Daphnia pulex: one gene and its partner. The protein of the gene in region 2 purifies or fractionates together with the protein of the main gene of each other region. This does not show direct contact. Links are inferred from orthologs where the notes say so. Each region holds a gene or a part of one and is shown on either strand. Other genes may lie near its edges.

Region 1 (3,756 bases), about 12 Mb from region 2:
CCCGCGCACGGTATTGATTTTTTCCTCTCTCTTTACAGCTTCTCTTCTTGCTCCTCCTCCTGCCTCGTGCTGTACGATTCTCCAGGAATCGGTTGCTCTTCACCACTTGGTGCTGCAAGATACAGTACACACACTTGACTATACACACATATAGGCTTTAGCTTGAGTCTCATGTTTCCCGAATATAGTATATCGCCCACTGCATAATAGATCTTATTTATCGACTCGACCGTTTGCCATCCAGCACTCCCCCCGGAAGGCCTAGACTCTACACTGACGATTGTGATTAACCTCACGTATATACACACACAGACACACAGGAGGTATCAAAGGGGGGGGGGGGGACGATTGGACTCGGCGGGGCGGAAAGAACAGAAAATAAAGGGCGCACGACCTATTCTTTTTGCCATCCAGCGTGACCCCCTCTCGTGCCACATCTAACAAGTTCCGAGTTTTTCATTCGCCCATTCCGTTTTTTCTCAATCGATAGATAAAACGAAATCATCACAAAGTGGGAGAGAGCTCGGGGAGGTCGATATGCTTGTCTTAACTTGTGTGTGTGTATATTGTACAACTACTACCTTGATTTTCCTAAGGAGTTTAGTTCAATCGGTTTTTTGGCCGCGCTTGATCGTGTCGTGAATTGACCGCCCTCCTCCCACGCACTCCTGTGTCCGTTCTCTGCTGCACTTGACAGAAAAGTCGACGTGAAGGACACGCAACGTCGATCCTATGACGTATAGACTTCTCAAGGCACTCACTCTGATTAGAATGGCTTTCCAAGAGACTGAACTTTTATTAATGGCCATGCGTTCCAGCCATCTCGGCGGGACCACCTCTCTCCCTGGCTGATGCCGCATAATGCCGGAAGATTGAAAGTCTCCGCATTCAACGATCCAGTCGGATGCTCTCACCAAGGCCGTCTGCTATTTTGTTTTTTGGCTGTTGCTTCCTGTCATATTTTTTTCTGTTTTTTCTCCCGAGTTCTTAATTAGGTAACGTAGCTCGTCAACACAGTGGTATAGGTGCCCCCCTCCACCCTTTTCTACGCTTCCTGGCAAATAGACGGACTAATTGATGAGCGTCGGTTGATTTGTTAGAATCAGTAAAAAAGAGGCGAGAGAGATAGAGAGGAAAAGAAACGAAAATTTTGGACGGAATCCAGGCAAGTTTACCATATTAACTTACCTCTCAACTGGCCAATTGACGACGAAGTCGGTGAATCATGACGTAAATGTGTTGTTAATAATTTTTTTTTCGAGTTCAATCAATGGGAGGAGGTAACACAAGGAAAACTGGAGGCGTGTTTCTCGTTGTCGGTACTGTGCAACATGAGTGTACCGACTGTGGAGATGTTACACTATTCACTGCTCCGCCGGAGTTTTCCGTCCAGGAAAAAACCGGTGAGTTCTATAGCGATTGCGCTGTTCATAGTCCCCGCCTCGGCCTCAACGCAGCAGTTTGGAACTTTTGGTTGTAAAACAAACGGAACCAACATCCCCTGGTGGCTTGTAGATATTCGCAGTACATAACAACGGATATTTGTTCTACTAATTATTATTATTCCCTGCATTAACAAACATGATTACTCGTTTGCCAGTAAGACAATCAAATAAAACTACTAGGAATGAGCATTCTAGAAGAAAGCTTCACGCCAACTTGACGTCTAATAATAGCAGTCAGCCTAGCAAGAAGAGGCATCTGTTATTATTACCCGACTGTTTTGATCCTTCGAAAGTGCTGGAATTGACTGGAAAAACGTGTTGATTGAGTTCTCCCGCAGTGTCGGGTGTCGTTTTTTTTTAGTTGACATTATGGAGTCGTGCGAAGAGGACGACGAAAAGGAGAGAACATTGCAGATGAGTAGCCCTGCGAACGATTTGACGATTGATATTTATCGTCCACTTCTTAGCAAAGATTCTGAACATGAAAACGAAGGAAAGAGAATCAAATCATTTGCTTTTGATTTGCATTCGACAGTCAGTATTCCTCCACGATTATCTTTATTACAGAGCAACACCGACTTGAACACACCACCAGCTAATTGGTTGCTAAGTCATCCTAAGAAGATAGTTGGGCCAGCTGTTTCCAGGAATCCAAAGTCAACAGAATTTGCCAGTTTTCACATGGCTTCATCTTTTTTAGATTCCATGGGTGAAGTTGATGTGGTGAGTGATGCAGAAAATATCAAGAAGCTTCTGAAGATACCGTACAGCAAAAGTGCTGTCAGTATGATGGTTCATCGTGTTGGAAACACACTGCTGCTCGATGAATTTGACATCCACACTCACCTTCTGAGAGCAGCTGAAAACGAATGGGGTTGGCTGAAGAAGTTTTATTTGGAACACATTTTTGCCTCCTGTCGTGCTAAGCAAAAAGCCTCAGACAAGAAATCCAGCCGGCACAGTCGCGACTACCTGCAGCAACAAAACCTCATCTCAAAATTTCTCTATCACAGTATAGCCCTTAATGAGTCAGAAAATGCAGACACCCAAGTTCAGGACAGGAATCATCAAGTTCAGGTAAAATTGTGTACTATTTAAAGTGCTTATAATTTGAATTCTTAGTAACACAAGTCTTTTCCAGCCTGTAATTGATCCTCTTGGTGATCCTGTTCCAGAAGAAAGTCATGTTCACGATGATGCTCTTCCCCAGTTTTCTAAAAATATCATATGGACATTTGAAGATTTGCGGATGTTAATTGGTACAGATATGCCTATTTTTGGCGGTGGGACTCACCCGTGTCTTTCGCTTCGCTTAAGGTAAGCCTTAAGTCAAGCAAATTTACTTGATAGCTAAAATGAATAATTCTTTTATTTTGTCAATTGATCAGAGATATGTCGAAGCCAATTAATGTGCTAACAGGACTGGACTACTGGCTTGACAACTTGATGTGTATGTCATATACCTGCTATTTCTTTGTTTAACATCTTGTAACCGAGTTTTTTAATGATTATATTTGTAGGCAATGTTCCTGAAGTTGTGATGTGCTATCATTTGGGTAAATAGCGTCGCGCTACGTGAAAAACTGGAAAAATTGTTGTTAAATTCTTTTAATGGTTACAGGTGGTCTGGTCCAAAAATACGAGCTTATTAAAACGGACGATTTACCACGCCTACCGGGATCGCAGTTTAAGCCGGGTATTATTAAAGATGTCGCACAAAACATTCTCTCTTTCCTAAAGTCTAAAGCCACAAAAGCCGGCCACACTTATTGGCTGTTCAAAGGTAAAATAATTTTTACTTAAGCAATCAAGGAAATTATTCAAATTAAGATCTCACATTAAATTTTTCGTGTCTTCATCGTGAAACAGCAAAAGACGATGATATTGTGAAGCTTTACGATCTTACTTCGTTGTGCAATGATTTGAATGAAGACATCAACCAGAATCCATTTACGACACCAGTTGCCATGCTACTTTTCAAGTAAAATTGTTTGCCAATGCGAATTGTAAATTGTTTAATGAATGCGTATGTGTTTTTTTAGAGTGGCGCGAAATTTGAAAATGTCCAGCGACTGGAAGCGACATCAAGGCACTGTCTTAGCTCTTTTAAAGAACTGCTTATCCCTTCTTGATGCAACCAAATATCCACAGGTAGCAATATTTTTTAATAATATTTCTTGGTTTTTTTTTAAATGTCAGGTTCAATGCGTATTTTTTAGGTCGCCACGTCTGCTTTGTACTATTTATCTGACGTCTATTTGCCAACATCACTCAAAGTTCCAGAAGCCGAAGATACTTCTGAAGAGGTCGA
Region 2 (3,282 bases):
GGCGTGGATTTGTATTTGAATGGAAATCTTATTGGAAGAGGTTTCGTTGAAGACCAAAACACCGTTGCAGGGCAATTCACTCCCGTGACGTTGCATTCGACGCTCAATCTATTACCTGGTGATCAAATCTGGTTGCAAATAGATTCCTTGTTGCCTCCGTTGATTGGCGACGGTACTGCAGCCCGTCGTAAAAGGCGAATGCTTCCGACAAAGGGAGTGATTTTATTCGACGATTATCGCCACTTTACTCATTTTACTGGATTGATGTTGGAGGAGGACATTTCACAATCGCTTTAATTTCTTTTCTTATTTTTAACTGATGCATTTAAAACAATTAAATTTTGCCTGTTACCTACAAACTTTTTCAGCAGAGACCTTCTTGTTAATACATATGTATTCTTTAGGATTGTAATGACCACAACAATCTTGAGGATCAATAGGATTGGTAGATTACGATAACAAAATTAGAGAACACCGTTCACGCTTCGATGGTTCACGAGAGAGTAAACAAACAAAAACGTAAAGATTATCAAAAGGACGTCGGTGTGTGTATTGCGCCTCCATATCATGAGCCTCTTTGTTTGCTTTTTAAATTCTCTTTCTATTGCCAGCAATCGAATGCCAATAACTTCACCTGTCTTCGACAATGTCTTCCTTGAAAATCACCGACAACAAAGTACGGCAATACTCGGCTTCCTCCTATCAAATGAAAATTCAAAGTTTAAAATTCGATTTCATTTTCAAGTATTGACTAATAATTATTACCAGACATTCGTCGCGATCTCCGATTAATTCGATGCGGTTGTCGAGAAATTCACGAAAGAGAAACTCTGATCTACGGCACTCCTCGATCGATGGGGGGTGGCTCTGGGTAAGTGCCAGCAAGGCGGCCAGTAGATGTTCGTGAGTCGAGTCGTGATCTCGTTGAAGCAGAGCCACAAACTGCTCCACAAATCCCATATTACATAAAGTATCTAGTAAACAGGGTATTGGTTAGAGTACAAATGGAGAAACTTATGAATGTGAATAAAACCTTTGAAGGATGGATTCTCATTGCATAAACAAGTCAACAAGAATGAAGCCTTGATTTTCAGTTTCCCGAGTGATGATTGCAGTGCTCTCAGTAAAGACGAGAAACCATCACAATGCACAAATGCATCCTGGGCTTCTGCACATTCTCTTGTCAAACCTATAATCAATCAATTGTTAACTGAATTCCCTTAGTGTGAGTTGTAAATCTGCTCATTACATGAAATGGCGTACAGGGCTTTGATTCTCGCCTCTTCACAGTCATCGTTTTCCAGCATTTTAAGCAAAATTGGCAATAGGTCTTCGTTGAGCACATGCTGTTGGCAGTATGGGTTGTTCTGGGTGAGGGTGCCAATCAACTGACAGCACCTCCAACGAACTCCATCGTGGGGAGAATTCAAACAGGGGATGAGGATGAAAAATCCTCCTATCTTGTGAAAGTCTGGAGAAACAAGCGAAACAAGTGTCAATGTTTTATTCAATCAATAAAAAAAGATATCTCATACCATTAGCCGTGTCCATGGAATCGGCAAAGTCAGTAATCATTTCCAATGCTTCCTCCATCTCCTGGGGATCTTCTTCAGGACTTTCGACTCGATCTGGATTGAGGATATTTAACGATTTTGATATTTCGGCTACAACGTCGACTGACAATCCTCTTAGAGCTTCTTCTAACCAGCGTCTCCTTTCTTCACTCATCGATGTGGTTGTGGTACGATCTTCAGCTGCGGTGCCTTCGATGGCAAATCTTAAAAGTCCTTGCATATCTCTTGGTTGTCGTGGGGGTTCCATTGTTTTGCTAAGGATCTCAACAACAACTTGTTATATATTTATGAAGAATAAGACGCAGTACGCAAGTTAAACCGTGAACGCATGGGGCAAGCAGACGTCAATGAAACTGTTTACTAGCAAAATCAAGAAGAGTCTGGAATAAAAAGAGCCATCTAGGCATGACTCGCATAACTTAAAAAATTTTGACATTTACAAAACAAACCTGTTAAGTTAATTAAGATTTGGATAAAATTCATTGAGATTTTAAAAAATTATTGAAAAAATCTGCGAAAGTGTGTCATATTTTTATTTGGTTTTTAATTGTAGTTTAACGCCGGAATGGGTTTCTAGCAAGTGACGTAACCTAGCGGCCGCCATAAGCATCTTTTCGAAAGTCACTCGCGTCAGGTTTGTTGTGTCAACGCACACTTTTTTTTAGAAAAAAACCACACCAATTTTAGTAATTTAAAACGCATAAAGTTTAGCCGGTTGATTGGCTGAATACAAGGACACTTAATTCGGAAGACACTGGGGTGAACGGTGTGATTGGTTCTCCCGAAATAATTCGTAGAAATGGCGGTTCCAAGCACATACCGAGACCAACATTTCAAAGTAAGCCTCATGAGTTGATAGCAGAATTGAAAATGTAACTTAATATACAGTTTTGAGGCAATTAATGTTTAAATGGAAATGCATACCTTAATAATTAAAAATATTTTGATATTTCAAGCCAAAATAACTGATTTCCATCTTTCAGGGTTCCCGGGTAGAGCAGGAGCGTCTGTTGAGTCAATCTTGCACCCTGTATGTTGGAAACTTGTCCTTTTACACAACTGAAGAACAGGTTAAATACTTCCAAGTCAACAATTGGTTCCATTTGATTTCATCTTTTCAAATATTTTAGATCCATGAATTGTTTGGGAAATGTGGCGATGTCAAGAGAATCATCATGGGATTGGACAAGTTTACTAGGACCCCTTGTGGATTTTGTTTTGTAGAGTAAGTCATTGCAACCAAATCCAATAACAAAATTGTGTTTAATTATTTCTAATTATCTTTCAAGGTTTTACCTGAGGAATGATTCAGAAAATGCCATCAGGTTTGTGAATGGGACAAGACTGGATGACAGAATTGTGAGAACTGACTGGGATGCTGGCTTCATTGAAGGAAGGCAATATGGCAGAGGCAAAACTGGAGGACAGGTCAGCATTTCGTCAGCTCAAACTTATTGTTCTCAACTAATGGATTTCTGTTTTGCAGGTGAGAGATGAATACCGAACTGACTTTGATGGTGGCAGAGGAGGATGGGGCAAAATGATTCAGCAGAAGGTGGCCACATCTGCTGCTGCTAACAATTGATAACATTTCTAAATACTGTATTCATTCATCTCTGTGTGTTTTTTTTTTTAACAAATGTCAACAAGTGTTATCCTCAATTAAAACAGACCATGCTGAATTGATTTCCTAAACAAAATCTTTTTT

What was found. The genes of interacting proteins can lie anywhere in the genome.
Region 1: the proteins of hsp70-binding protein 1-like (region 2) and erythroid differentiation-related factor 1-like purify together in Homo sapiens (affinity purification with mass spectrometry; 3 studies listed by BioGRID and IntAct, counting the BioPlex papers as one, with this or other methods). This does not show direct contact. The link is inferred for Daphnia pulex from reciprocal best matches to the Homo sapiens genes HSPBP1 and EDRF1.

The regions. Positions count from the first base shown.
Region 1 is NC_060026.1:4,184,091-4,187,846, reverse strand, and holds the start of erythroid differentiation-related factor 1-like, read left to right. Parts: upstream 1-1,463; 5' UTR 1,464-1,814; coding exon 1,815-2,522; intron 2,523-2,586; coding exon 2,587-2,762; intron 2,763-2,833; coding exon 2,834-2,895; intron 2,896-2,965; coding exon 2,966-3,001; intron 3,002-3,066; coding exon 3,067-3,228; intron 3,229-3,314; coding exon 3,315-3,426; intron 3,427-3,487; coding exon 3,488-3,596; intron 3,597-3,664; coding exon 3,665-3,756. UniProt on the Homo sapiens protein: Transcription factor involved in erythroid differentiation. Involved in transcriptional activation of the globin gene.
Region 2 is NC_060026.1:16,275,729-16,279,010, forward strand, and holds hsp70-binding protein 1-like, read right to left. Parts: upstream 1,957-3,282; 5' UTR 1,822-1,956; coding exon 1,536-1,821; intron 1,472-1,535; coding exon 1,250-1,471; intron 1,190-1,249; coding exon 1,034-1,189; intron 975-1,033; coding exon 766-974; intron 700-765; coding exon 631-699; 3' UTR 527-630; downstream 1-526. Other genes in the region: nuclear cap-binding protein subunit 2-like, read left to right, coding at 2,374-2,412, 2,558-2,644, 2,705-2,799, 2,864-3,002, 3,061-3,159. UniProt on the Homo sapiens protein: Inhibits HSPA1A chaperone activity by changing the conformation of the ATP-binding domain of HSPA1A and interfering with ATP binding. Interferes with ubiquitination mediated by STUB1 and inhibits chaperone-assisted degradation of immature CFTR.